Linked DNA regions of Xenopus tropicalis. The protein of the gene in region 3 purifies or fractionates together with the protein of the main gene of each other region. This does not show direct contact. Links are inferred from orthologs where the notes say so. Each region holds a gene or a part of one and is shown on either strand. Other genes may lie near its edges.

What was found.
Region 1: the proteins of sap30 (region 3) and sap130 purify together in Homo sapiens (affinity purification with mass spectrometry; 4 studies listed by BioGRID and IntAct, with this or other methods). This does not show direct contact. The link is inferred for Xenopus tropicalis from reciprocal best matches to the Homo sapiens genes SAP30 and SAP130.
Region 2: the proteins of sap30 (region 3) and brms1l purify together in Homo sapiens (affinity purification with mass spectrometry; 4 studies listed by BioGRID and IntAct, with this or other methods). This does not show direct contact. The link is inferred for Xenopus tropicalis from reciprocal best matches to the Homo sapiens genes SAP30 and BRMS1L.
Region 4: the proteins of sap30 (region 3) and arid4b purify together in Homo sapiens (affinity purification with mass spectrometry; 5 studies listed by BioGRID and IntAct, with this or other methods). This does not show direct contact. The link is inferred for Xenopus tropicalis from reciprocal best matches to the Homo sapiens genes SAP30 and ARID4B.
Region 5: the proteins of sap30 (region 3) and arid4a purify together in Homo sapiens (affinity purification with mass spectrometry; 5 studies listed by BioGRID and IntAct, with this or other methods). This does not show direct contact. The link is inferred for Xenopus tropicalis from reciprocal best matches to the Homo sapiens genes SAP30 and ARID4A.
Region 6: the proteins of sap30 (region 3) and sin3b purify together in Homo sapiens (affinity purification with mass spectrometry; 4 studies listed by BioGRID and IntAct, with this or other methods). This does not show direct contact. The link is inferred for Xenopus tropicalis from reciprocal best matches to the Homo sapiens genes SAP30 and SIN3B.
Region 7: the proteins of sap30 (region 3) and suds3 purify together in Homo sapiens (affinity purification with mass spectrometry; 4 studies listed by BioGRID and IntAct, with this or other methods). This does not show direct contact. The link is inferred for Xenopus tropicalis from reciprocal best matches to the Homo sapiens genes SAP30 and SUDS3.

The regions. Positions count from the first base shown.
Region 1 is NC_030681.2:125,410,858-125,414,983, reverse strand, and holds part of sap130 (histone deacetylase complex subunit SAP130), read left to right. Parts: intron 1-941; coding exon 942-1,174; intron 1,175-2,533; coding exon of another isoform or gene 2,534-2,692; intron 2,693-3,612; coding exon 3,613-3,727; intron 3,728-3,811; coding exon 3,812-3,939; intron 3,940-4,126. UniProt on the Homo sapiens protein: Acts as a transcriptional repressor. May function in the assembly and/or enzymatic activity of the mSin3A corepressor complex or in mediating interactions between the complex and other regulatory complexes.
Region 2 is NC_030684.2:108,267,550-108,272,386, reverse strand, and holds the start of brms1l (breast cancer metastasis-suppressor 1-like protein), read right to left. Parts: upstream 3,287-4,837; 5' UTR 3,225-3,286; coding exon 3,089-3,224; intron 1-3,088. UniProt on the Homo sapiens protein: Involved in the histone deacetylase (HDAC1)-dependent transcriptional repression activity. When overexpressed in lung cancer cell line that lacks p53/TP53 expression, inhibits cell growth.
Region 3 is NC_030677.2:48,755,126-48,759,251, forward strand, and holds part of sap30 (histone deacetylase complex subunit SAP30), read right to left. Parts: intron 1,345-4,126; coding exon 1,219-1,344; intron 1-1,218. UniProt on the Homo sapiens protein: Involved in the functional recruitment of the Sin3-histone deacetylase complex (HDAC) to a specific subset of N-CoR corepressor complexes. Capable of transcription repression by N-CoR.
Region 4 is NC_030681.2:55,884,637-55,888,762, forward strand, and holds part of arid4b (AT-rich interactive domain-containing protein 4B), read right to left. Parts: intron 3,719-4,126; coding exon 2,588-3,718; intron 1-2,587. UniProt on the Homo sapiens protein: Acts as a transcriptional repressor. May function in the assembly and/or enzymatic activity of the Sin3A corepressor complex or in mediating interactions between the complex and other regulatory complexes.
Region 5 is NC_030684.2:103,539,946-103,544,071, forward strand, and holds part of arid4a (AT-rich interactive domain-containing protein 4A), read right to left. Parts: intron 3,806-4,126; coding exon 3,732-3,805; intron 3,010-3,731; coding exon 2,849-3,009; intron 1-2,848.
Region 6 is NC_030677.2:111,954,647-111,959,235, reverse strand, and holds the start of sin3b (paired amphipathic helix protein Sin3b), read right to left. Parts: upstream 3,059-4,589; 5' UTR 2,986-3,058; intron 2,973-2,985; exon of another isoform or gene 2,836-2,972; intron 786-2,835; 5' UTR 631-785; coding exon 553-630; intron 1-552.
Region 7 is NC_030677.2:165,497,126-165,501,686, forward strand, and holds the start of suds3 (sin3 histone deacetylase corepressor complex component SDS3), read left to right. Parts: upstream 1-1,328; 5' UTR 1,329-1,727; coding exon 1,728-1,854; intron 1,855-2,387; coding exon 2,388-2,457; intron 2,458-4,561.

The DNA.
Region 1 (4,126 bases), on a different chromosome or scaffold from region 3:
AAAGTAAATGAAACAAAAAAAAAAAAAAAGTATCATAGTTACATAGTTTACAGTTTACATAAAAAATCACCATGTAGCTTATTGAAATTAGGGTTGGAAATTAAAATTCTTAGATTTTTTTGCCCTGAATGCAGATGTTTGAAATGCATTATTGAAAACAATTTATAAAGCACTTGTACTATCTAAGCCTTTTCTTCTGTAATGAGTTTTGATTTTTCCACAACCATGTTTTTTTGATGAAAGTTACAAGATGGAAATCCTGTTATATCAGTAGCCAGTACGGTAAAGACACACTGCCCACATCAGTGTATTACTTGCTTTCTGCCAGCTAACTGCTTGACACCAATTTGGCGCAAAGACCTGAAAGGCACCTTTTGGTTTTCTCATCCACACATTAAGTCACAGGAAATTTATTGATTTAAGGTTGCCATACATGGGCAGATTTCAGCTTCAGTTTTGGATCCTTCAGACCGATATAGAAGCTTATGTGTCTGTGTATGGGCACCAGAAGGGCCTACCTGACAATTCAATTTCAGGTTTTATTTTCTGTTGGATCGAGGGCTGAATCAGCTTGTTCATGCTGTTCTCGGTCTGACTGCCCATATACCCGCCATTTTAATTCCAATTCTTTGGCCCTAGGGCCAAATTAGCTCAATATAACCCACCTTAAGTGGGCGTGTCGGGAGAAGATATGCTCGTTTGGTGACCTCACCAAACGAGCAGATCTTACCGTGTATGTCCACCTTTAGCTCGTTGGCCTAGTTTTTTAAAACCAGCACATATCTTTAAACTAGGTAAGTGATTTGACGAAGACAACCTGATTGCTTCTTATGTGGATGACTTAAGTTCTCAGTAAATAACAGAGCATAAATAATCAGTAATTTGTTCAGTGGGCCACAAAAAAAGCAATAAAATGTTTGTTGCTGTATTTCCTAATGTAGGAGATGAGATAATACGAGACATGGATGTCCAATCCCGTGATTCAATTGGTGCTGGCACAGTTCTACCATCACGCGACGATAAGCAGGAACCTGTGGTTGTCAGACCTTACCCTCAAGTTCAGATGTTGGCTTCACACCATCCATTGCAACCTGCTCCTTCCCTCAGTATGACTGCACAACCTGCTCACCTAACCTCAGCTGTTCCATTGTCATTCTCTGAGAATATCCTGAAGGTAATAGATTGCTTTGGGTTTTGGTTTTTTTTTTATATGCTTTTGTTAATGGTGGCCTAAAGGCTTTAAAACTGCTTCATTTTTATTTAACGCAAAGTAAGTTTGGCTGTGTGTGCACAAAAAAATTCTTTTGTGCACACATTTTAAAGTTGTATGCGCATTTTTAAAAACAGTGTGCTCAGGTCGGAATAGATACAGTTGTGTGCTTTACACAAAATTCTTTTTAGCGGGAACATTTAGGAGAGATTATTCACCCACGGTAGCAAAGATCTATCACAGATGGCTAATCTCTGCGTGGGACATCAGCCTAAAAGCAGTAGATATCAGAATAGCACTTAATAGTAAAACATCCAAGTCCAGCTGACTCCTCTAGGAAAAAAAATAGGTTATCTGGAAGTAGTTCTAATTTGTAGCACTGGCTCCTTCTGAAAGCTCGGAATCGGGCAGAATGCACTGAGATGGCACCTACACACTTAAATTAAAGCTAAAAATTACTTTTGTTGGTTCAAGAATAACTCTTAAAATGGTAGAGGGAATTATTTGCAATGTAAACAGTGTAATTTAGAAATTAAAAGTACACCATTAAAATTGTGACAGAATCCCTTTTATATATTTGTACTATTACCCTGCACTGGTTAAAGTTGTGTGTTTGCCTCAAACACTACTGTAGTTTATATAAACAAGGCTGGTGTGTAGCCATGGGATAGCTAATAACATTGAAATATTAAACCTGAATGGTATAGGTTACAGAGCAGAGAAGCTCTGTAAAACACCATTGTATTCTATAGAGCTTTATCTGCTTATTAACATGAGTTTTCTTATTTTTTCCAGCTGCCCCTGTGACTGCTACTACAGTTTATATAACAGAACTTTACCAGTGCAGGGCAGCCATATATTATATTTTAATTACTTTCAAACACTAATTTTTGGTGTTTCTACTCCTTTAACATGCTTTTGCCCTCTAAAAATATTTATGCAGATGTAATGGAACCTTTTATTATCAAATGTGGCTTTGTAGAAGGCTAAGGGAGCTATCAATGTAATCCAGATATAATTTTATGGTCTGCTTTTAACTGACATAACAGTTTACCTTTTGTTTAAAAGCTTAATATTTGTATATATTGTACAATAATCATGTGTAATTTGAACAACTTTGCAAAACATAGTAATTAGGTAATCGAACCAGGTTAGGGATTTTATTTTTTTTTTGTGATATTTGCTTTCCAAAGCATTCACAAACACAACTGTATCAGCTTTTGCATATTCATATCACTCTATTTTGTCAATGAAATTATAGATAAAGAGGTTCTTAAAGTTACTTTGTCTTGACAGAAGTTTACTGTTGATGTTTTCCCACAGCAGACTTCAAAGTCTACTATGCCTAGCCGGCCTATTGCTCCAGCACCTCCCTCTGCACTGTCTGCTGTACCAAAGGTCTCTGGCCAAGTGACTGTCACAATGGAGAGTGGTCTTCCACAGACCTCTGCTATCCCTGTGGCCACAATAAGTGGGCAGCAGGTCAGTGCTGTAAAAGATAAAATACTGTACTATACGTTTAGGTTATAGAACAGTGTACCCCTATTTATTGGGGTGTTTGCTTCTACAGACAAACATAGATTTTTTTAAAATTAATTTTTATTGCTTGCTTCATTTGTTGTAACACTCTCTTCCTTAAAAGGGATATATACCATACATTTTTACAATGCACTAAACCATGTAAAATAGAAGTAAGTGCTTTTATTTTAATAACTTTGGGTTCAAATATGTCCATAACTGCTTGAAAACTGTGCTCTACCCACACCCTTTGCAAGCTTCCTGTTTAGACTCCTCAGTATGTGGCTGGGGCAGCTGGCCATGGTAGACTTCACTGACACAACCTCACCTACTTACGGTGCAGTGAATATGCATAGAGTGGGCGGGGCTTTCACAGGCACTCTCCCCCCCCCCCCCCCCCCACCCCTCCTGGCAGCAGCACAAGCAGAGAGACCCAGAGGGAGGAAACTGGGAGGGGTTTTCCCTGCTACTGTTGAGTAAAGCCTGTCAGTCAGTGCTGTGACCACTTCCTGTGGGAGACTGAAGCGACACTCCCATGTTTCATTTCACTCTGGCTTCTGATTAAAGATGTTGTGTATGCAGCTCTCATATAATGGCAGTTTTAGGAGGTAAAATGCTTTCAAAACATCTTTCTTTCTGCATCATTTCACATTTTGAGGGAGTATGAATATTATAACTGAATATGAACTTTATATAAAATGTCTCCTTTAATGCTTCATAAGTCTGATATAATCTCTGTTCTCTGGCTTGATATCTACAGTGGATTTTCCTCTGAAGGCATTTTAGGCTAAAATCAAATAACATTCCTAATTCTGCTAGAGGGCAGGCAGAAAGAAATCACTTAGAGTAGTCTGTAATTGTGTATTTTTTTTTATTTAATACAGGGGCATCCCAACAGCCTCCACCATATTGTGGCTGCCACAAATGTTCAGATGTCAATTATCCGTAGTAGTGCCCCAGGACCTCCATTGCATATTGGAGCTTCTCATCTTCCCAGAGGTAAATGAGTAGTGATTTTGTGACTGATGTGCACTGTGACCATTGCATTTATCCCTCATTCACATTCTGTTTTTTGGTTCTTAGGAGCTGCTGCAGCAGCTGTCATGTCAAGCTCTAAAGTGACTACTATGTTAAGACCAGCTTCAGCACAGATACCTAGCGCAGTTGCTGCCCAATCAGCCACTCAACACATTATTCACCCCCCTATCCAGGTATGTATTTTAATACTACATATGCTGTCTTTCCTTGTTGCAATGTTGTTTAAATTATAACCCACAGAGGACTTGTGAGTGTTGCCACCTGTTGATGGCAATTAAAAAGGACCAGTAACACATGGAAATCAAAATGGCCTAAAAGTGTTTACACTCCATTGCTTCTTTAAAACTTCAGCACATTTTA
Region 2 (4,837 bases), on a different chromosome or scaffold from region 3:
AAGTGGGTGTGGTTTTAAAAAGGGGACTGGTCAAAACTGGCTTCCATTATCGGCCCTCCACCATGTAGGCCGGAAAAATTATGGCCCTTGGTACCACAAAAGTTGGACAGCACTGCTGTAGAGAATTGGCTACACAACAAAAATAAATATACTTTTAAAAGTACCATCACAAGCAAGAGAATGTTATCAAATATTCACCATGGTAGAAGTTGCTTTAAAGGGGCAGTATATCTCCTTGGTTCAATGTGAGTACAATAATTTTGGCTTGTGACAAAGATATTTTTTCCTATTGTTTTAGTTACAGAAAAATCTATGATTTTGTTTTTTCTTGAGTTAAACAGGCAAACAGAGAGATTGAGCCTACTCCATGTTTGGTCTTTGTGAAGTAGATAATTAGATTACCACCATATAATCCTCTCCATTCACCACTATACCTGTTTTGTTAGCAGGAGTCCATTATGCAAGGGGGGGGGGGGGGGAGGGGATTATATGTGCACTGGAAATCTAAATGATCTCCCTTGCTAGGACCAACCATAGAGTAGCTTCAATTTCCCCATTTGCCTTGTTTAGCTCAAGGAATTACAAAATATGTAGACGCTTGTGATTAAAACAATAGGCAAAAAGTATGTTTGGCATAAGCCCCATTCAAAGAACTCATGTTGAACAAAGGGGTACACCTCCCCATTTAAAGAAGAACAATGCCTTTTATATAAACATATGTAATTTTCCCAATTAGACAGCAACATTTTGAGCCCTTTTATTATGTTCACAGAATATTTTCCTCTAGAGAGTAAATGGAAATATCGATAGGGCAGAGAGAGAAGCCATACATTTACAGACAATTTTTACACAAGGTAATTTACCACTACTACAAGTGAAGCGTTGTATGTACCCACAGGCATCTGTCGGTCAGGAAGGAATTTTAGTCTGGAAGCTAAAATAGCTCTTTCAAGAAGCTTACAAATACTAGTGATGGGCAAGACAAAAATCATGTACAATCCAACATCCAGCAGACCAATCAATCAATGTAGGTGTGAGCTCCTGTTTCTTGCTAATGAAAAGGCCTCAGTATCTCAGCAAGCACAAAAAAGAACAGGTTTACATTTCTAGACTCCAAAACACATTCCTTCTCTACATAAATTCATGCCCTGCCTGCAGAAGGACTAAGGGTAATGTCCCATAAGGAGATTAGTCGCCCACAATAAATATCTGCTACTGTGGGCAACGAATCTACCTCAGAAACTGTTTTACTGGCAATAAAGGGAATCACCTATGGAAAGGCTTATGCATTGCCTTTCCACCAGCAATTCATATTATTTGGATATACATGTGAATAGCCAAACAGTACTGTTTGGCCCAAATAAACTGACCTTTGCTGCAGCTACTTTGACTTACAATATGCCAATGCATCAAACATGAGCTAAGGGGGCATCTAAAGAGAATGTGTGGCCAACTTAAGTGATGGAGCAAAATTTTGTAAACATCTGTATTGTTTGTGGTGCTTTACAGAGGTCCTCTGTTTATGGGTTTTCAGCATGCACATGATGAGATAGATAGACAGACAGACACCCAAAGCAAATGGTAAAATTCTCAAATGAACAAGATGATCTGAATGGAAGAGAAAGGGGCAGCCTACATCAGAGTTCTGTGGGCCTAGGTTTGCAGACAGGGCACTATAAGCAAAGTTGGTTTTCTTCCAAGAGCTAAAACCATGCGGGCTAATTGGCTCCTGATACAGCTTATTTTTGAATTTCTGGTTTTGATTGCATAAACCCCAGTGTAATTGCCAAACAGATCCTTCTGTAGGCTTCCAGTCAACATAGGGGCTATCAAATAGCCAATTATAGCTCTCATTGGCACCTCCAGGAACTTTTTTCATGCTTATGTTGCTCTACAAAACTTTTTCCATTTGAATGTGGCTCATGGGTATAGAAAGTTGGGGATCCCTGATTTAATGACTTTAATGTCTTTTATATTTAAAAATGTGTCTTGGAGAACTCTCCCCTATAAATGTGGGGGAGAATCAGCCTGCGAGACCTGTGCTTTGGTCGAGAGGCGATCCCCCTGCATAATGTTTTCCTGCTTCATAAGCACAGACAAGGGCTGTATCCTGGTAATTCATCTTTAGTTACTCTAAACTTTAGTTTCCCTGTTTAGCTCAAGTAATAATAAAATCCATAGATTTTTTGTGATTAAATCAATAGGCAGTGTTCAACACAAGCCTATTCATTGCACTAGTGCAGAGGGGGGTTCACTGTCTCTTTAAACCAGTGATCCCCAACCAGTGGCTCCGGGGCAACATGTTGCTCACCAACCCCTTGGATGTTGCTCCCAGAGGCCTCAAAGCAGGTGCTTATTTTTTGAATTCTTGGTTTGGAGGCTGCCAGTCCACATAGAGGCTATCAAATAGCCAATCACAGCCCTTATCTGGCACTCCCATGAAATTTTTGAATGCTAGTGTTGTTCCACAACTATTTTTACATTTAAATGTGGCTCATGAGTCCAAAAGGTTGAAGATCCCTGCTTTAAACTAACATCTGAAGAAGGATCTCACAAAAACATTGACTGTCCATTAAGTTTCTATCTCTATCTTACCTATAAACAATTGCTACATTACAATATGCCTTTAGCACTTGTTTCCTACCCCAAGAGGCACCTTTGATAATGGGACCTAAGATGTAAATGGCTACTGACACACTGATACGTTCTATGAATGGAAATCAATGGCACCGATACACAGGGAAGGATCACTGTTCTGAGGGGAATCACATCCAGCATGTGCCTTGCCTGTCAAGATGTGAGGGGGGTTGCCTCATATTGAAAAGACAGAGCTTCCATAACCAAGAAGTCCCTGTGAATAACTGCACCACAGCACAGCATTGCTTTGCGGCAAAGGAAGAACAGCAAAGCGCCTTTATTCCACTGGTGGCCGCTCTATCACTGAACTAGCCAAGTACCAGGGATCCGCAGGATGTGAAATCCCTGAGCCCGCAGCCGTCCCACCATGAAACAACTAGCGGCCACAGGCGGTAGTGCAGCCGTGTAGATGTGCGTGTTGCGAGCAGTGTTGGAGCAGTCAGCTGCTTACCCGAGCTGTCTCCCTCTTCGCTCCCGCTGGAACTATCCGAATCGTCCTCTTCGGAACTAGTGCCTTCATTTTCCGGATAGTCAACCTCCATATCATTGTGGTTACTTTCCTTCTTTTCCCGTGAATGAACCGGCATCTTCGCTTTCACTCCCTCCGTCCTAAAACTGCGCCTCTCCGGACCCCAATTTCCACCCGCGCCGGCACCCACCTTTCCTTTCCTATTGGCCACTCTACGGTACTATATTTTTAGCTCCGCCCATATATCATTCGTTCGCGCTTACGATTGGCTTAAGAGCACGCATCATTTACTAGCCATAGGCCACAGCAAAACCCTTCCGTCGCTTATTACTCGCTCCTACGTTTCCATGAAAGAACAAGGGCGGACCCTGCGTCTTGCTGGGAAATGTAGTTTCGTCTTTATTACTTACTGGATGACACGGCAGGAAATTTGACTACAAATTCCGAAGGCCATTGCGAGGCAGCGTGCTTTTTCGGGCGGTTTATAAACAGAGAAGACGTCAGGCTATAGTAATCAACCACCTTTGTTCCTATCAATTTGAAGCTGTACTTTATAGAAGCCTAGGTTTGGTAGAGGTTTAATGGATATTTAGTATTAGTGTCCATCCGGTCGAATAGGATTTCGGCTGTGCATGTGTGGGATCTGTTATCCGGAATGCTTGGGATTTTTGGACAAGGAGTCTTTATGGAGTACCATTCCCAAAGGCTCCTAAAGAACACTAAGTAAGACCCAATATGATTAATTTGGATTTCTGCAGCTTAGTTATGATCAAGTACACAGTACTCTTATTATAGAGATAAAGGAAACATTAAAAAAAAAGAAAGAAAAATAATTGCTTGTTTAAATAGGATTCCAAGGGAAGTGGCGTTCCAGTATTTTGGACATTTTTTAATAATGGGTTTCTGGATAATAGATACCATGAAACGGCTTTGCTTTTGTAACTCTTTTAAATGTATATTTCATTTAACATTGTGTCCTTTTATAGGGATATAATGGTGCAGTCCAGGATTTCTCATCATCATTAATACCTAATTTCTCATCATTGCAAACAAATGCACATTTCGACATAGGCACCCAAAGACACGTGCACAACATTCTTTTTGAAATCTGGGCGCTCTGAGGCTGCCCCCCATTCACCAATACCGCCCCCCCCCCCCCGTGCGCATGTTCGAACAAACCTCTCTTCCCCCCCCCCCCCCCCCCCACTCCCATACAGAGAAGTGGGGAGTAAGCACTATGGAGAGATCATCTTCCTGCGTCTCCCTTTTTTGCTCTGGGTGTGAATGCACAGTATGAAATGCCAAGCTTTTACTAAAAAGCAGGGTTTTAGGGTTTTTTGTTTGTTTTTTTACTCTGCTGTGCATGTGTCAGCCTGGGGTCATTAAAGAATGAAGAAGTGGAAGAAAGCAAATGCTCTGCAGCACTCCCTCAGAGATCCGCTTGTTTGGTCCTGTTGCCAAAGAAGCAGCCCCGTTTTGACCACCCCTCAGCGGTCCAAATTGGGCTGATCTGACCTAGCCAATGGTCAGAACATACTGCAGACCTATAGAGACCCGTAACTGTAGATTAAAACAGGTATAAAATCCTTAAAATTGCTTTGTATCTATCCTATGTATGTTAACAGTCCTTTAATACATTAGTACCCACTACATCTAAAGTAAGGCTATTTAAAGGAGAAGGAAAGGTAAAAACTAAGTAAGTTTTATCAGAAAGATCTATGTAAATACAGC
Region 3 (4,126 bases):
CCCGCCATAGCAGAAATCTATCACAGACGAGTAACTCACTCCATGGGTTCTTACTCTTAGAAATACTTTCAGATAACCTACTGTTTCTCCTACTCCCATGTATCTGGAGGAGTCCTAAGCCAGACTTGGATTTCTTATTGTTGAGTGCTATTCTGATATCTACTTGGAGCTGCTATCTTGCTGCCTTCCCATTTTAATGCTGATTGGCTGCTGAGACGGGGGTGATATCACTCCAACTTGCAGCTCAGCAGTAATGTGTGACTGATGTTTATCAGAGCAAAGGTCACATGGCTGTGGCACCCTGGGAAATGAAGAATATGTTTAGCCCTATGTCATATTTAAAAAAATCTATTTGTGTTTTTGAAAATGGATTTCAGTGAAGGATTCTGCTGTACCAGCTCTATTAACTGGTGCGTTTTGAAAAAACATGTTCCCATGACAGTATTCCTTTAACTGTGTGAGCCAACCAACTCTCATACCCAATATCTGTAAACATAGATATTTTGTCTTCAAGAGAAAGTACAGTCAATAAAAATATATCACACTTATTAGAAGAATTCATTTAATGTTGAACAGTATTTTTATACATTTATCTGCCCACAGTTTCAGTGTCTCTCCCTTCAGCTGTTGACTCATTTGACAGTTATATAATGAGAATAGGGTTGCTAAGGAGAGGGTGGAGCAATAGCTCTTTCTTACAAAATCACTGAACCCAGCCAGGAAAGAAACCCAGTCCAAAATACATTTCCTCTTCAATATAATGCAACATTTCATTACCTTAGATTTTTGATCATCCAGAACAGTAGTGCCCATTTGGAGGCCCATGAGTTGGTATTTGTACCAATGGCTCCATGTACATCATCATTTTGATATAATCTAATCTACAAATAACTACTATGTCAGATAATTAGCGCACTACACAGGAAATGTTGGGCAGAGCTGATCTAGGGAATATCTGACACACAATATCTTACTTCACAAACTATTATGGCCTCAGAGTTACCCCTGAACAAACCCTAGCATATTAGATAATGTCTTGACAATTCAACAATTGAAGCTTTGCACAGCTAGAGGGGGAGCTTTGTAATGATAGCAGTGCAATGCGAGACAGCAATGTTACAATGCAGTTGCTTCTATAGCTTTCTAAAAAATAAAAAGGCTAAAAGTTACATTTAGTTTATGTACAATATATACAGTCTAGGAGGGAAACATAAATACCTCAGGAGTATCAGCGTCATGAACAGGGGAATCACCTCCATCATCATCACTGCCTTTCCTTTTCCTTCTATTTCTGACACTCTGAATTAAGTTCTTGTGAAAGTCACAAATATAAAGGTGCCTTGCCTAAATAAAGGACAGAAACAAATGTTTGCAGATATATCCTAGAGAGAAAATGATCATAAACAGAACAAGCACAGACTTTTCCTACTATCTGGTAAAGCTTAGTAAATACTAGAAATGGCGGAAGTGGAAGACAAGCAGATCATCTACTACAGGGCACACAATTTTATGGGACTCCCATAATGCATTGAGATACATATGCTTTCTCACTGACGGTGGCATTATTAGTAGTTTTGTGCGTTACAGAACCCACCAGCCATCCCTGAATTTTTTGGAATTCAACTATATTTTGAAAATAGGATGTGCAGATTGCACCAACCTGTCACTAAAATACTTGGTTGATAGTGTCTACAAGAACATCTGCCAGAATCTAACACTCCCTTTAAATGCTGCAGGAATCAGGTTGCTGCCCAACAAAAAGTAGACACCAACTCATCTCAGGATGCAAAGAGTCATGTCTGAGGTTATGGCAGTTGTCCCCCCAAAAGTTTTGTTTTTTGAATAGAAGTCCTTAGGAAAGCAGGTCCTCCGGATGATAGATAACAGAACAGGACTAACCATTCCCATTTATAAAGGCGTTTTATAAATAAAGGTGTTTTATACTAGGCCTGTGTGGGACAGTTTGTGAATTTGTGCACTTAAAAATACTAGAGCCTATTTTGAATCTCAGGTCTCTTGAGTGTGAAATTATTGTTTACTAGTGGGTATATACAGTAGATTATACAACTCCAGTAGGAGAATGGACTAAAAGTGGCTTTATATTTGAAGATCTGCTTGTTTGCCGAGGTCGTCAAATGAGCTTATCTGTCACCGATATGTCCATCTTGAGGTGGACGACATCAGATTGATTTGATTGTTTGGCCCGTCGCATCGAATTGACGGGATACAGGCCATCGAGATGAGGACTGAATTGATGTGGTGATGCACTCCTCATCACTACTGGATATTTAAACATGCCCGATTTTTGGACAGCTATCGGTTGGGGAGGCTCATCTGGGGGCCCCAAAATCAGACATCAGCAGTTTTTATAGCCTGTGTATGGTCACCTTAAGAATACAAGGTGAACTGTCAGACTTTGCTCAGATCAACCTATTTAAAAAAAAAAAATCTTGCCTGATGCCTCTGATACCATTGATATCACAGCATACATTCGCAGACATGGGGAATATTGGTGTGTGTTTTTACCAGCATGTATCCTTAGAGGCAAACTCTTATTGCTATAGTCATGTATATACAATATGCTGTATTAGATATATCAAATGGTATATAAATTAAATCTTTATAATCAACATGTCAGTGATTTTACTCCAGACTGAGGCCAATATATTTCACTATTACACCACCTCGGAGCTGGAGTATCCCAATCAAGTCAATGGGACAAATCACATGGTAAAAAAAAATTCGGACATATAAAGGGTGTAGAAAGCTATGCAAAGTGGTGACAATTAAGACAATCAACACTCCTGTTAAAAAAAACCAAAACATTTCTCTTTTTAATCTAGTATTTCACACAATGCTAAATACACCAAAGATGATTACACAACTGTGTAACCACTTATGACAGTATGAGGTATAATGGGATGCTGATGTGGTAATCCTTGGTGTATTCTATTGCAGTGCCTTTTGTAATAACCTATATAATTAAATATGTCAACCTCAACATAATATTATTTTACTCCTGCAAAAAACTCAGTCTTTTATGGTTTGACAGTTGCCCATTCCAAATCCTTGGTTCATGATGGAATGTGTGTATGAAAATCAGAATAATTAAATATATTTCCTTGATCATGTAACCTAAAGTCATTTAATTTTTGCTTTGGATTCAGCTTGGTCAGAAAATGGACAATGATCAGATTAACCTTGAACAAGACATTAATATCACGGTAGACATGGATCATGAATCAAGCACTACACTTACCCCAGGTATGCCAATAAATTCAGTGCAGCAAATGAATAGATTCAAAGCATTACCTCACCACACATACACAAGCTGAGTTCCCCTAAATCCTCCCATTCTGCTCATCTCTCTCACTCCCCCTTGCCTGCGATGAAACTCTATGGTTGTGCATTCCACTGTGAAATGCTTATACCAATTGATACAATTTAATCAAAGAGCTCCAAGCAGTATTAACAAACTCGGGCAGAGCCCTTTCTCAAGTTTCACTTGAAAAAGTGTACACTTGAGAAAGGGCTCTGCCCAAAACATATAGGGGTGTATTTATTATGCTGTGTAAAACTAACAGTAAAAAGCTGTGTAAAATAAGTGGAAAAGATCGCCATCTTAACGGCGGATATTACGCAGTTATTTTCCATAAGTTCTGGTGGAAGAAAAAACGCGTAAAACAATGACGCCATTTTAACGCCATTTTTATACGGCGAAGCCCGGCGAATTTTCTCGCCATTTCTTACACAGTATAATAAATATGCCCCACAGTGTGCTTATACTGCTAATAAAAAATACTGCAGTTTGTTAATACTGCTTGGAGTTGTTTAATTCATTCGTATCAACTGGTTAATTTGGGGTGATACACGGACACCTAAAATCTACACCCATATGAACTTTGAATGCTTTACTTGATACCATAATCCCTGTGTATTCTACGACTTAAATTAATAGGATAAAAGTTTTCAAACTACTTTTTGCTCATGTTCCCTTTTGATTTCTTTGCTCAATCCTCAATCCTTTGCTTAATCCACTGTTCTGACTCTCGTGCTATATCTTTTACATATAGTATTTTTCCAGTGCTACCCAAGCTCTTCTATTCTTTCTGCATCTGCCATTGTT
Region 4 (4,126 bases), on a different chromosome or scaffold from region 3:
TATAAAAACCAAATATAATGCCACATAGGGGCTATTAAGTAGCCAATTATAGCTTTTATTTGCACCCCCAGGAACCTTTTTCATACTTGTGTTGCTCCCAAACACTTTTTCCATTTAAATGTGGCTCATTTATATAAAAGTTTGGGGATCCCTTCCCTAGACAGTGGATATCTGCAGCCTTTGCGATATTGGTCGCCTCTTCGAGCCACCATATACGCACCAAATATCATACGAAACAAGGTTTTGTACGATAATATTGGTGCGTGTATGGCTTAAGGCTGGTGGCCTACAAAGCTAGTCAGTCGCTCGCAAGAGATCTCTGCTACTGCACAGGTGACTAACCACTCTGAACTGCATTTCCACCGGCAACAACAGGAGTCGCCGGTGGAAAGGCCTATGCATTGATTCGGTTTTCCGAGGTTGTGCAAAGTTTCCTCCTGCAGGCAACTTTGCGCAACTTTGAAAAGTCTAAGTTGCCCCGTCAGACATTAGCCTAAGTCTCCAATGAATTCACATTCTTCTCCCAAACTGAGTGCAAGGCTACTCCCACTTTTCAGGCTGCAGATAAATGCAGGCCGAGAATGCAGAACAATGCGAAATGCACTCTGTGTAATTGCACCTGGGCTGACACAGTTTTAAAAGGGAACAGTCATGAAAAATGTTTTTATAATATTGAAAATAAAAAGTCTTAACAAGCATTTTGACAATTTAGAGCTTTTAAACATTTTGCACTGTTACAAAGTTATGGCTAATTATTGAAGCAGCCTCCACCCCCCACCCTCCAGAATCTCTGGCTTCCTGGTCTGCATCAGTGACACAGAAATGTGCGAGTGACAGAGCAAAGTAAAAGCTGATTCGCTGTGGTATGTCACAAGGCCACACCTCTCAACAGCAAACATGTGCAGAGGGGAAGTAAAGCTGGGCTGGGCTGGGCAGGATACTGTTGAAGCTGCATTGGTACATAGAACAATAAAGCAGCTTTTTTATCCTTTATATCCACATATACAAACAAAACACACAGAGTGAAGAAGTTCATTTACCAATCGTATTTATCAAATGGTGATTTTTGAATTTTTCAACCATTGATAAATACACTTCTAAAAATCCCACTAAAGTGAATATAACATGGGTCAATTTTTATGTATTAAGCTGTAAACTCATTTTGATAAATCTGCCCCTATATAAATTATATAATTCTGGTTTCCTTCAGTATTGGAGTTTACAATCAGAGCAAGCAGGTAGGCGACATTTTGTGAACATTAAGACAAGACTTGCATTATCACAAAATCTTGTTTAGCCACCAGAGTAAGGAACCTGATGCCCATGTCCATGCACAGGATACATAATAATAGACCATGAGGAGGTAGATAGGAGTGCAATGACATCAATAAAGTGCAGAATGGAAAGTGAACCTAATTGCCTGTGTTTCATGTTTAATGTTTTTTTAAAAAAGGACTTTTATTATACAGCTTTTTATGTCTGGGTGACAGTTCCCCTGTAACACCCTTGTCTCCACCATTGGGAAAAAAAATTTAAGAAATTACAGTTAGAGATGTAGGCTCTATAAAACAAATTCAGGATTTGAACAAATGAAATGTTCAGTTTTTGCTCTATTAAGAAGTAGCAGCCAGCATTTACTATACATACAATGCAGATTTTACATTCTGTGGCACTTAAGGGTTAAAGTAGCACAGAATGTAGACTCCATTTTATGCTGCAGTTCTGGACAATGTTTCCATCAAAAATGCAGTTAACGTGTTGATTTTTGTCCACCATGACAAGTTTCATGAATCATTTTACTTTTGGTATACCTATGCACTATAAATACATTATAGTGTTTTATATTGGTACATAATTACATGTAAGATAAGAAATCTGAAAGTTTTTCAGAATATTCAGACATTCTTATAAAAACTTTTGCAAAATTTGGAATACAAGATATATTTAATCATTTTGTATTTGTCAGAATGTGTACTTTTGACAAATATATGGTTTCTTGGGGTAAACCTACCATGACCTTGCAGTGTAATAAAGTATTCCAATTCATGGAGCAGAGCTTAAAAATGTTGGTAGTGCACTGCCAGGGGTTTTTGATCTGTAAGTGTCAGAAACATTTATAAAATTATTTATATTTGGTATTGACATGCTCAAAAAATTGGGGATTTTCAAATCAGGTCTATTTAGTTCAGAAAATGTGTCTGAAATATACCATTACAAATATTCTATTTAACAAAATTTCAGTACTTAAATCCTATAAGATGTTAAAGAAATGGAATTACACATGTATATCACAGAGCTACAGACCAACATCTAATGATGTGCCCAAAACACCCATGATGCACACACAGGATAACTTTCTCAGCATGTATACATTGATCTAACAATACTGCCCTACAGCCAATGAGAGCTCTGTTTAATAATCACCAACACATAATTCAGAATACATTTTGCCATGGCCCCTTTGAATGCAAAACATGCACTGTCATACACTGCTGAAACATATACCACTTGATGCATATGAAATCAATTATCATTCTGGGTCCACATGAAGACAAAATTAATAAAGATAGATTTTCATGTCACTTACTTTTCTCTTTACTTTCTGGTTCTTGCTGATTGCTGCTACTAGAACTTATACTTGCATCAAATCCTGTTGGTGAAAATCGCCCTTCATACTGGAGATCTTGCAGTTCACAGGTAACACTATCTACTTCAATTGTACTATCAGTTTCACTTTTCATGCTTTGAACTTCTTCCTGATTTGGTTCTAAAGTATCTAAAATGTCACTTTTTGATTGTTGTTTTTGGCATTCACTTAAAGTAGAAGGTGACTCCGGGGTTGTTGGGGGTGTATTCAATACAGAGTTACTACCACTACTGGGAAAGTCAATTTTTTTGTCACTTATTTCAGCAGCTCTCTCATCAACAGGCTTTAGTCCATTATCTTTCTCTGGTTTAGACACCTCAGATGAAGACATTCTAATGTTGTCATGACTTTGCTGAAGAGAGGAACTCTCATCTTGATTCCTAGTAGATGGGGAAGTGGCACCCTCTGTATCAGAATCTGAAAAAAGTTCCTTTAAAGTTTTTTTCGGCCACTGGCCTTGGATACTTGACCAAACGTCTTTGCGGTCTTTGGCTCTAAGTCTTTCTTCCGAATTATTTAAAAGCTTAATCTTTTTTTCAGGTGTTTCTGAGAAGCCTGTATAGAAACCTGTTCGCAAAGATTTCCTTTTGTCCTCAAAACCATTGTACTTGTTTGATAATGCATGTTTTGGGTTAGATTTTTCCTCATCGTCTGAGGAAGTCATACTACCTGCATCAAGTCTATCAGTTGTTTCATTGCACTTGGAATACACTTCATTGCCATTAGGGGACCTTGCCTTTCCCATTTCTGTGTATTTTCTTTTACCACGCTTATTCTGTGACTTAGTTATATCATTCTTTAAGTATTTACTTTGTCTTGCAGACTCTACTTCATAGTCTGTATCGTCTGAAGAATCTTCCACTGTTTTTAGTAAGTCAGGGGATCTAGGTATTACTGCCAATATAGGATCAAGACCAGTACAATTTCCTTCTGTTAAAGGGAAGCTTTTGTTTTCATCCAATCTTTGATTGATATCGTAGCTTATATGATTCATGTGAAATGCCTTTTCTTCTTTGTCCATATTCAGGCTACTGTGATCAGTTTCACTGTCCTCTGCAGAATTTTCAGCAGCTATGAAAAATATTAATTATAAAATGAGAATTAGAACATCTTCACCTAAAAACTAGTCTGTGTAATGAAAGAAAATGTCATTCTTAGCAACTTTCCAATTCCAATTTTCTGACTTTCTCCTATTCATCTTTCATTCAAACCATTAACTGGTTGCTAGGGTAAAGTTGCTGCTGAAATTCCAAAATGGAGAACTACATAATTAAAACCACAAAAATAAAGACTGGTGGGGGAAGGGGGCGGGATCATAAAAATAGATAAAAGTTGATCAAGATCAACACAGAAGTACAGCCCATACAGTTTTCTGTTGATTGCATATGGCCGTTTTAGCAACAGATGCAAATGGCACTCAGAGCTGCAAAAACGGGCAAGCCCTTAAACTTTATTGCGGAGGCACCTCTGCAATAAAGT
Region 5 (4,126 bases), on a different chromosome or scaffold from region 3:
CAAACTTTAACAAATTTGGAATAAGTTTAAGGGCTCTGGCACATGGGGAGATTAGTCGCCCGCGACAAATCTCCCTTGTCACGGGCGACTAATCTCCCCAAACTACCGTCCAACCGGCGAAAATGTAAGTCGCTGGTGGGATGGCACACGCTGCACAGGCGATTTTGGCAAATCGCCGAAAATGCCTCGCGAGGCATGTGCCATCCCACCGGCGACTTACATTTTCGCAGGTGGGACGGTAGTTCGGGGAGATTAGTCGCCTGTGACAAGGGAGATTTGTGGCGGGCGACTAATCTCCCCGTGTGCCAGAGCCCTAAGGCTGATGCCACACGTGGCGTAGGGCTGATTTTTTTGGCAAGTCGATATACGCATGAAAATGCGAGAGAATGCAAAGTCTCGCGTTTTCATGCGTATATCGGCTACATGTGCCTGCACCCAAGCGTATTCCATTCATTCGGGTGCAGGCACAAGTAGCAGGCGTAGGGCTGAATTTTCGGCAAGCGTTTTTCCGCTTGCCGAAAAAATCAGCCCTATGCCATGTGTGGCATCAGCCTAAGAGGTACAGGCACTGATGAAACAGCAGGTTTGTTTTCTCCAGATTCATTTTTAGAGTAAAATGTTTGTGTGTTGAAACCCAAACATGCACACAAAATAAATAAATAATCCTTCAGAGGGAGGTGGAAAAACATTCCAACAAGGAAGCAAAACCTTGTTCACTTTGAACCAATTGTGTATTGACAAAATATTTGCCCAGGGCGCAAATAAAGCACAAGTAACAAACTACATGATTGTATGTTAATAAAATTAGGGAGACTTAAATTATCCAGCCTCTGATTAACTCATAGTACACATAATTAAGTTTCAGACAGGTATCTTCTCATGATTATTGTCCTTTAAATGATAAGTAACACCTCTGCCATACAGATAAATCAATGTCATAAATAACAGCAAAGCAAATTCTAGTTCAGAATTTCACTTCAAAAAGTAAATTGTAGGATTCTTAAGGTGGCCTTACATGTAGCAATAACGATCTTTCCCACGACCATTAGTTGCAGGAAAGATCGTTCCCACCTTCCATTGACATTCAGGGCTGAATCGTCAGATATAGAGGTAGAAACAATAGAAATTCTACCTCCACCTGACAATTATCAATAGTGTTACTATTAAACCATCCTTTAAAGGCCTGTACATGTTAACATGCAACTCAAAGTATAACATTCTAAAGGAGTTTTTTTGAATGTTCACTTTAAGGGTTGTGTTACAAAAAGTGGCTCAGTGTTAAGAAAAGCAGCCGTAAGAAAACACTAGTTCATAATGACAGTGGTTGCCCTACAGGGTTTGCACACTTAGCTTTACTAATGGCAGAATATTGCCAGAATAATGATGAAGATTATTTTCACCAACACCAAATGCCAAAGGGATTAAACTGGAACATGGGTGCTGCAGTCCTCCATAGTCTGGTCACTGGGGCAAGCACCCCAACAAATTAACATTTAAAGCTGCAAGCAAAGCACTTCCTGCACAACGTAATAACAAAGATTTCCCCATTTTACAGAGCATGTTCATAAACAAGGACAATCTTGATCTGAAGTTACACTAAAAATCCTTTCCCATACTCTGCTAAGATATTGCTTATTCTACTGACATTTAATAAGTCTAAAATATTATCTTACATTATTGCGAGAAATAATATAATGCACTGCTTCCGTTTCATTGATTTTGGTTGGCTGCAATAACAGCCACAGCACCTCTGGCACCCAGCAGGCATGATTTACTTACTTATAACCCTCTACACCTTCCCTGTGTTCTGGGCCACCTTGTCTATCCATGGCTACAACAAGCATTTTGTTTGGGGAAAAAAAAGCCATAACTAGGGTATTTGGGGGCTTAGTGTCACACTTCAGACAACTGGCTTCTTCCAGCCTGCAGCCCTCATTTTATTTGACATCCAAGGTATAGCCCTTGTGTCCCTTCAAGATGGTGCATGTGCAGCATATCAAGAGCCAAAGAAAGTACTGTATTGTTCATGTGTCCATTTAGATTGGTGCATTAAGTTCTCTGGTCTGCAACCATCAAATCGATTTTAAATGCACAATTAAGAAACACATGAATCTACTACATGAGCCATAGTACAGACCAACAAAAAGATAACTGGCCATGGAGAAATTTAGTGTGGGATTCAGTGCAGCGAGTTCCATGCAGCATTTTTTTGTAAGCCATTAATCTCTAATGTGCGAGAGAGTTTTTTCAAACACAGGGCACAATATAAAACACAGCAAGAAGCTGGATATTTTCTCAAGTTCCCTCCCCTTACCCTAGCCTATAAGTTATGTACACAGTGGTTGCTATGTGGTGGCCTTAGTATAATATGAAAGTGATTAAAGGGCCAGTACACCTTCATATTTTTTTTTTTTTTTTTAAATCTTCCCCGTGGGTTTGACAAATGGAAACATTAACTGTTAAATGTGTATTTACTTTCCATTTGGTTTGTTTAATCAAGTTTTGTAAAAAAATGTTACTGGCTGAAACCTGCAGCTATAACCTTGGCTAAGCAGCTATTGTATAACTCAATGGCTGGCTCAATGACCCATCAGGTGTTATGTTGAACTTGGAAATCCATTCTGGCTCAAGCTTCTGAAAAGGCCTTCCAGTGTATTAAATTAGTTCTAACAACGGTTTGATTTTAATACTTTTAATACCTCATTCACTATTTGCCATTAATCTTTCAGGAATATACTTAAATTTGCAAGTTCCACACAACAAAATACTCTCATCAAGCCTGTGCTCTGTAGGCTACGGAGATAACCAAGAATTCTACATTTTCCCTCCACTGAGTAAGCAGTCTTACCTCTGTTTCCACCTCCTCTTCTTTGTTTTGATCACTGTCACAAGCATCATCCTCTCCATCTTCTTCATCACTGCTGGAAGATTCAAGGATTTCATTCATGTCCATTTTCCATTTTTCAGGGATTGTCTTGGAGATCAAGAAAGCAATGGCATCCTGCACACCTAGAACCCAGCCAAAGAGAAAGTTTTCACTAAGCACCAGCACACAATATAAAAAAAAAAACATAAAAATAAAAACAGGCAAAATGTGCTGGAAAATGTTGTCATAGAAAGTCACACTTCTGCAAAGCAACATTTTTACTGATGCTGACTAGGTAAGGAGGACAAATTAGAATTACATCATTTAATGTGACCAGGGCTCTCAACTGGAATCAGTGAATAGATTGTAAGGTTTAAACAATTTACACTGATATACCCACATCATTGTTTCTTTAAAGGTGCTTAAGGAGGCAGCAGTGAAATGATGACTAAATCAAATTATTGATTTTTTTTTTCCCACCACTTTTAGTCCCATTTACATTTGGCATTGAATATTCTTTTCAAGGTACATTTTCTGCATCATGTGTAATTGGCATGGAGCTCACTATAACTCATGTATTGTTAAACATAGAACTACCTCTGATCAAGTATATGTAAAGCATATTTTCATATTTAACTCCTAAAAATAATGCTGATATCTTGATAATATATATGCAAATTTAAAAAGCATTGACAATTGCAGATCTGATTTTTCCAACTGTGTATCCTATAGAAGAATACAATTTTAAAAATAATGTTTCACAATTATAAACATATTACAGAAAAATAAGTCATACATGATTTACAAGTTTAAAAAGTTGTTCTATTGCCATCAACCCAAAAGTGGGTTGTGCTCATTAAATTACCTTGCTTTCCAAAATGCTCCGAATTTAGGACATTGACATCAACTTCAGTGAGGTCTTTCCTTGCAACTGAATGGCTGAAAAACAATATCGAAATCATCAATGCATAGACACTATCACTTTTTAAAATCCACAACAGAAGAAATCCATAACTTGAGATAATCTTCGTAAAATAAGAACGCCAACATGTTAACTGGCTGGAGTGTGTGTGAGTCTGAGAAATTGTAAACAGGCCTCTTGCCCTTCCTACTAAAATAGGAAATATAATATATCCAATATTTACACAGGAACAACGCACAAAACTCGCACAAACTCCATCTGTTTACATGCCAATAACTTGCTTTTATAGCTAGACCCAATGCACAGCAGGTGTTTGCTCCACTGATAGAGAAATTCCT
Region 6 (4,589 bases), about 63 Mb from region 3:
TAACAAAAATAATGTAAAGCATAGTTTTTTTTTTTAGATTTCAACAACAGTATATTCAGTAAGTATACTCAGCACAAGTCCTATTTGTTGCACTTATGTTGACAAGTGGGTATATTGTTCTTTAAAGAGGAGAATATCAAGTGTTTAGAATGAATGAACGCATGACTTTGGGGTAAAAGAGACACCTAAGGCTAATGCTACATGGGCAGATTCTTGGCATGCAGATAAACGCACCTACGCCCAAAAAAAGCTTTTGAATGTGCCTACACCAGGAGCCATTGCACCAGCCCAGGTACAGGCACACAGCAGAATTTGGCGCAAAACTGCACAAGGGGGCATTATTGCACTGAACTCCAACATAATGGCTCTGGGTGAAGGAACAACCAAAAGCTTTTTTGGAGTGTAGGGGTGGATTCTCAGGCCGAGAAACCACCCTGTGTGGCACTAGCCTAAAAGAAGGACGCACAATATCATGTCTTGAGGTATCAATAAGGTAACAATGCACACACATCTATGATCAATAGGAACAAACTGGTTGCTTTCTATACTTACATGCACTGGGAGTTTTTCTTGAGGTTTGCTCCAGTTTGAATTTGGCTTGCAATTACCACCACCTCCACCACTCGCCATTTTTTTTTTTTTTTTTTTTTAATTTGGTACAGTAGTGAAATGGCTTATTCAGAAGAAAGTCTAATAAAAGGCTTAAGCACTTGGAGTTGGGGAAGCATGATCCAGCACTTGCTTCAGAATTCCCTGTGGACACCAGGAACAGCTGCAAATATTTCCTAAAAAGAGAAAATAGAAATGTAATTCATCTTGCACAATTAAAAAATACTTTTTCATGTTTTAAAATGATCATTTTCATTGATAATTTTGCCCAGGATTTCATAGTTTAAAACAAAATAATTAGTTAATAGAGATACAGACATTTACAAACAAATTTATAGAAGAGCCAAGAGCAAGTTAACACCTGTTCCATCAAATCAATACTTCTACAAGCTTGAAACACAATGGGCCTTATTTATGGATGATGGACAAAATAGGCACTTTGCATTTGAGGGCTAAGGGTAATGTCTCATGGGGAGATTAGTCTCCCACGATAAATTTCTGCTACAGCAGGCGACTTCTCTCTCCTTTCCACCGGCAACAAAGTAATTTGCCTGTGGAAAAGCGTAGGTGCCTCTTCATTTTCTGATGTTGCATGAAGTTGCCTGCATTAGCCTTAGTATGTTGCTATTCTCAAAGATTTTATCTTATCTGTTTTTTTTTTTTTTTTTTTTATGGGCGATGGTGATGGCAGATTGTATCAGTGCCTTTAAGTACAATGGTCTTCGTTTGGGTGCTTAGGGTGAAGACACAGGGAGCTACTTTTAGCAGCTACTTTTTCATGGCTACTAAACACCAGAAGATACCCTGCCATAGACAATGCTGAGAAGTGCCTAAAGGTGCCCATACACTATAAGATCCGCTCGCTTGGCGATGTCGCCAAGCGAGCGGATCTTCACCCGATATCCCCACCTACGGGTGGGCGATATCGGGTAGCAAGAAACTTAAAAAAAAAATACATTTGTGGTTATGGGGCAGTCGGTTCGGGGACCGCATCAACGAGCCGATGCGGTCCCGGATCCGACTGGATTTTCTAACCTGCCCGATCGAGATCTGGCCAATTTCAGGCCAGATATCGGTCGGGCAGGCTGCTCTGTTCTGCCCATACACGGGCCGATTAGCTGCCGAATCGGTCCAAGGGACCGATATCGGCAGCTATAGTCGGCCCGTGTATGGGGACCTTAAAACACATGTAGATACAATTATCAGTAAATGGTCAGCATTGTCTACTTTAGTAGCCACGACAAGTAGCTGCTACTAGTAGCTCTGTGTCTCTTCACCCTTAAACTTGATGGTATAGCCTATATTTCAATAGTTTCAAGCATCATCACTGCGCCCTCCCTCCTCCCTCCCCCCCCCCCCATGGCAACTGAATAGTCTGCTCAGGTATTTTGGGCTCAAGGCAATCATCCTATAGCCCAGAAGCTGTATTTAAACAACAAATAGGACCTCTGACAGCCTTTGGCTTATGGTGGGATCATGCTTTTTCTAGTTTAAAAAACAACACCTATATATACACACAAAACATTTTCCAAAGGTTTAAATACCTAACCAAGCAGATTTCTTTGCATCGTCAAACAACCCCTTTTTTTTATCTGAATTGCTTCTAAGGGACTCACATCCCTCTAGCAATTAACAAAAACACATCTCTGCCTCAGTTATTCTAGTTTCACCCCATGGGCACCAGAAAGAGCATCTTCTTCTTGCCCGAGGCATATGAAACTGCCAGTAGACCAAGTAATGAGCCATTTTATCAGGGGTGGCCGTAACACTGTCATTTTTTTTTTTTTAACAACCTAAGGAAAGCAGATACAGACTACATTGGAATACCCCCCTCCCCCTAACATGCACATTGTGTACCCATAATAAGGTATGCTGATGAACAAGATAAGCAGCACAAGCCACTATGTATGTGATGGGGGCTACACACAAAAATGATGTTGCAATGAGGGAGACAATAAAGATATATAATGCTACAGGAAAAGGAATGATCGAGTTATGATGTAGTCAAATCCCTTTAGCACTTTACAACAACGGGTATGATAGAAGAGCGCATTAGAAGTGACAGGAGCAGATTAGAACCTGGATATTAATTAGAATTGGGTCACGAAGTGAATGGCAATAGACGCGACGCTGGAGCGGGATGTTAGACGAGCTGACTGATAATACACAGCACACACAGAGAGACAGGAGAAAAGTACGTGTAATTTTGTATTTCTGCCGACTGGCCTGGTTTATCATCGCGCCCCTTTCTCTATTTCAACCCCGAACGAGTAAATCATTCGGCTTCAACGCAGTCTTCAACACCGTGCGGATCCAGCCCACCCTCTGCACTGCAATCAAAGCTGAAAAGGATGCTGAGACATTTGAATTATTTACCAAGATTGAGCAATGGAAGCAACGTCCGGTGATACATGAAGGAAGGTTTCCCATGATCCGTACCTTGCGTGCGCGTTCCAGTGCGCGCCCACATATTCCGGGCGGCGGGGACGCACTCGGCGCAACCATCGCTCTTAACCATATTCTAACGCTGTGAGAGTGAAGGGCCTGCTGTGATGTCAAGATCACGTGATTTGGCGACAAGGGGGGGGAACTCGGCTAGGGTACTGGGTCAAAAAAGGGCGGGGTTAATTCCTCTGGAAAGGAAGTAGGAAATTATGCACGCAAGCGGGACGCTCAAATTAATGAATGAAGTTTTCAGCTCCCTCTAAAGGCATTTATAAACTGCAAAAGATCGGTCCACTTGCGTATTACACATATCCAACTATACTTAGTGCGGAAAGCATTCCAGCCAATCAGTGAATAGATTTCTTCCCGGCTGACTGCGGGCAATTCAATTAAAGCAAGCATATGTTGCTAAGGGTCAGTGCCCAGCAGGTGTAGATTTGCCCAGTGTTGCTTTATGTCACTCAGTTTTATTTATACTGTCAATGAGCAAAGTAGTATGTGAGCAGTAACCTATAGCCAAATACAGCAGGCTTTACAAAGCTTTTAACAGCTAGGTGTGAACCCTAAAGTATAATTATTTGGGTAAAAATAGATTGGGGAAAGAGGTCCAAAATCTGTTAACGTCCAGGAAAGTTGGATGGGGTTGACTTGACAGCTCTGTATCATTGATTGCTATGGTACATTGCTGTAGTGTGAATATGACAATAACTTAGAATCCTAATTGGAGCTGTATTCAGCTTGTTTTCGTTTGCTAAGCACTGGAAACAGTTATAATGTTTAGGGAAGCTTGTAATTGTATGTCAAACAACCAGCCTCAACCTGTGGTATTTGTGCTTAGTAATAGCTCTATAATCATGGCTTAAATAATACAGCTGTAGAAGCAGGCATAGATTTGTGGAAAGGCCTGGGCCTAGGGTGGCACACTATGCTTCCACGTCTGCACTGGGTGCCCAGTGCTGCCAGTAGGAGCTAGCGACTGAGAGCAGGATTGGGAGTGGATAGGTTCAAATGAGCATGCACATGTCTGTGGCCTGTATGTGTGCGTGGGCTTGTTTCAGTGGGCTTTGGCAGCTGGCTTAAGGGTATTCAAAAATCCAGTCCCATGTAAAAAAAATCCATAGATTTGGTTTGTAAAAATAGGTTTAGAGTCCCAGGCTCTCTCATCCTCGACCTCCCCCTCTCCTCAATTGGCATATGCACAAAAGTCTACAGTTCAACGAGCCGATGCGGGGAGCTACCTTCTGAGTATCTCAACACGCCTCTTGGCAGCAGCGCCCCTAGTCCAAGACTTTTATTATGGACTTACCCAGATCTGATATAACCAATATTTTTATGATAGTCAACAGATGTTCGAAATGGTTCATTTTGTTCCCTTCAAGAAGCTTTTTTTTTGCTGCTTCTTTCTTAGCCTAATCTGACCAAGCACTTAGTATCCTGAATTCTTCCCAGCCTATTGGCAGATTTTTGCTATTATATTAAGATGTGCAATAAATTAATCTATTTATTTCATACACACTTCCGGGGGCACTGGTGTT
Region 7 (4,561 bases), about 120 Mb from region 3:
TGAGGAGGAATAAATGCAAAAAAAATCCCTAAATCTTGACTTTTTTTGCTCTTTGGGATACTAAGCCTTAACAACTTTACTACTAACCCATAACAACTCCACTGTGTCAAGAATGGCAAGCTTTAAATATGTATTTGTGTATGAAATACAATTTTTAGATTAAATTCACCTACTTTTTAACAGGGCCACTTTAAGGTACCAGCAGGACCTGGGCAAAATTTAACTGGTGGGCCCCCAATGTCCAAGAAATTTGTAACAGAATAGCACATGAAGTTTAATATAAAGTGGCAGGCAGTGAAGAAATGGTCTGCGGTTAAGTAGACATGATACCCAGGTGTGCCGCCACGGACCAACAGCCCTGGAAGCAGAAGAATTACAAAATAGTGAAGAAAAAAAGGCAAAGAAATTAAAATAACCATAATAAGCAGATCTTTCAGTTGATTACAGTGAGGGTCTGCAATATCTGGTTGGTGCTTCTGCCAAAAGTGATCCCAGACGAAAGTTGTGCTAGTGTGACCCCTATGCTGGTGATCCCTGGGCAAGTGCCTCTTTTGCTTATTTATTAAAAGAGCCCTGCATTTTAAGATGATTGGGCCTGCACTATATTGGGGTATTAAGCTGACCCTTACCTGCAGGGGCCCCTGAAGCATACAGGGCCCAATAAGATACTATAAGTTTTAATCAGTGTTTATGAAAATTGTGTTCTTCCTAATGTTTGAGGGCCTTTAAGTGATTTTACTTTGGGCCCTATAACTATTCTACATCGCTGCACTCAGCCTCTCGGAAGGCAGCACCTATATGGGCAAGGATTCAGAATAAGCAAATGCCTGATTTCACTAGCAGTACCACAGCCAAGAGTGTAATGTAACTCTGATAATGAAATAGTTGAGCCCTAGCCTTTACCAACTACCCGTGAGAACAAGCGCCAGCACCAAGAAGCACAAGCATTACACCGAGAGAATATGGAGCACGGGGGCGTAGAACAGGAAAGTGGGTCAAGCAATAAAAGTAAATCGGGCAGCTTTATTTGCTCTCCGGCTGGCTCCACGCTTTGGCAACATTGCTGCCACCTGCTGACGGATTGCGAGTACTTCGCCACAAAAGAAGAAAGGAAACGAACCAAAATCAAAGGCTAACAAAAGGGCGACTTCGGTACATTAGTATTAAACACATATAACTTATAATTCCCAAACCAGGGCTTTCCAGCTGTTTGCAGCATTCTGGTGCCGGAAGTTTAGACCAACATATACCGTCGCACCGCTGATTTGACAGCGCTCCAAAAACACATTACTTAGCAACGCCCCTAAGGTAAACGTACCTATACGCGAAACAGAGCCAGACTCGGCCTATGGAGTCAGGGCAATGCCTGTAGCGGGACGTATCATACATATAGCAATACTCTCCTATAAAGGCTCAGATTATTTTTATGCAACTGGTGACATCATTTTTGCGCACAAGTGTTTGCTTTCCGCTCTTATAATGCGCCGCGCTCCCCGTTCGGCCTATGTTTATTATCAGGCAGGGTACGGGGCAGCTTGTGAGGAAGTAGCGCTATTGGAAGCCTGAGAGGACCCCGTTGCCGTGCGGCGCTTGTTGGTTCATTGATGGGAGGCGGGTCTCCCGGGTATGGGAAGCGGAGTGCTGTGTTGATTCGGTACCGATAGGATTTACGGCTGCGTTACTGGGTGTAAGTGTGTTCGGCTTACTGCTACCCCTGTGAAAAGAAAATGTCCTCGGCTGGTGTGTTGTCTCCTGCCGCCGCGGCGGCGGCACCTGATTACTACGAGGAGGACGAGCTGGAAAGTGTGGAGGAAGAAGATGACCGAAGCTTCAGGGGCAGGGAGTCTGATGAAGGTAAGGGGGCTCAGTCCCCCAACTTGTTTATAAGCTTTGTATTGTTTGTTTTTGTAAGAACTGCGATTCCCGTAATGCATTTTTTTTATCGCCATTGCGACATGTAAGTAATATGTTAAACACTAAAATAAAGTGGGTCCCAACACTTCCTAAAGACAACTGCAACTTATATCGGTGCGGCACCCCAAGCCTCATAATCCTCCTTGTAGCTGGTCCGGGATATTAATGTTGCTTAAGCTCATTTCGTGGGACAGTTTGATTATTAAATAGGCCGGTCATTATAGGATAAATCCAGTGACAAAGCCCTTTTAATTAGTTATGTATTTTCATTATGGTTTTGATGAATAGTGTTTATGGAATGTTATTTGTGTTTATAGTAAGCAGGAGCCTTTACATTTCTGTCTCAGCTGAGACATTATCATTTAGTTCCTGTATAGAAACATTACTCCTTTAGTAGGATTTATTCTTGCGCTGTGGTAATATTGTGTTGAGATATAAGATACAATGATATCATGCTGCTGTTATTTTCTCAGATACAGAAGACGCCAGTGAGACTGACATTGCAAAACATGACAATGTTGACTATGTGGAAATGAAAGAACAGTATGTATACATCTCTCTTCCTTTGCCTCTCTGAGGTCTCTGCATCAGACATAAGTGTTTAATGATATAATCAATAATCAAATCAATGATTAGCTTCTTGCACAAACAGGACACCCCTTTTCAACATAACTACAGTTAGACATATGACCAGTGTCCACCAGGATACCAAGAAAACTCCCGGTGGGCCTAGGTGTCAGTTGAGCAAGCACAGACGCTATAGCTTGGAGCTTCAGTAAATAGTTTTGTTGATCTTTCTTCACCCCCAAACCAGCCATAACAACTTAAAGGACATGTAAACCCCACACACAAAAATTTAATCAGTGAACCGCTAATTTGAAATCTTTGAATACCTGCCACACTGCTTGTCCAGAGGTTAATAGTAAAGGTGCCCACACACGTGAAGATCCACTTGCTTGGCGAGGTCGCCAAGCGAGCGGATCTTCTTTCGATATCCCCACCTACAGGTGGGCGATATCGGGAAACATGTAGGCTAATCTGATCGTTAGGCCCTGGGGCCAAGCAATCGAATTAGAATGGCGGCAATGGGGCAGTCAGTTCAGGGACTGCATCAACTAGTCGATGCAGTCCCCGATCCGACTAAATCTTTTAACCTGCCCGATCGATATCTGGCCAATTTCAGGCATGCCCCTCATTCCTGCCCCTACACGGGCCACGGGACCGATATCAGCAGCTACAATCGGCCCGTGTATGGCCACCTTAAAGGAAAAGTAACACTAAAAGTTTTTAACTAAAAAATCTATTCTACCCTCCCCCAATAATTGCCCTATCCTGAAAACCATTTGTTATTTTGAATGCTTTAGTAGAAAATACCTGTAAATCGATTGATCAAGCCTAGCCTGACTTCTGTATAGGAAGGAGTCAGGCTAGGCTCGATCAATGGATCGCCACATAGTTGATGCATCTCCTGATGCTTTCGCCGGCATCGCCGTATCGCCTTTGTTCAAATGACAGGAAGCCGAGTTTAACAGGTATTTTCTTCTATAGTATTCAAAATAACAAATGGTTTTCAGGATAGGGCAATTATTGAGGGAGGGTAGAATAGATTTTTCAGTTAAAAAATGTTAGTGTTACTTTTCCTTTAAGGCTGCAATATCTCTTTAATCACTTAGATTTCCTTCTCCTCCTGTAACCCACTCGCCCCCCACCTTCGGGAATTTGCTTTGATTTCTGGCTTGCCAGACATGCTCAGTTGTTCTAAGCTCAGATTACTAAACACGCCCTCCAGTCTAGCAGCCAGTAAAGAGATGGCATTGCTGGTTCCCAGATTTAAATGCATCAGAGGAAAAAATGGCCATTGGGTGAAAGCTGCTATTTGCTTTAGAAAAATGTGATGGTGCTGGCAAGCGGAGGGGATATATGCAGTACAAATGATGCCATTTGGGTGGGGGAGACATTCCCAACTGATATACATTGTAGGCAAATGTAGGCTTTGCATATTGTATCCTAAGATGATATTATTTATTTATTTTTTTTAATGTTCCTCTGCCGGAATGATGTCAGTATTTGTAAATTATATATCCATTCTGGACTTGTTTATAGTTCTTTGCTACTCCCTTTCTCTGAAACCCCGTTAGGGGTAACTTTTATAATCTTTGCGTGTCAACAACTACATAATATAATTTAGTCATAACCTATTCAGCATTAAGCAACTTATCCACTGCAGGACTATCTGTATATATTATTTTTTAAATACATTTTAGCATGGGGAATCAGTATTATTTGATATATATATCAAGGATACATTTTTATGATGATTTGTCTAGATACCTGAAGGGATATATTTAACACTGTATAAAATGTAAGATAGTGAAAAAGTGTAGATAGTACAAAGGCATATCAGATGTTGAAACTGGGAAATGTTATTGGTTTTTTTTTGTTTTTTTTTAATATTTGCTCCTTTTGAATTTGATCCCAGCAACATGTTTCATAAAAGTTGGTCAGGGTAACAAAAAACTGTAGTTGTGTAATGCTAAAATGAGCATCCCAGAGAGGCTGGAGGGGTGCACCACTTTGTAAAACACTATATGGGCAAATGTTGCACTTTAAGAATAACTTTTCTCAGTGTAAAGTTGCAAATAATTTG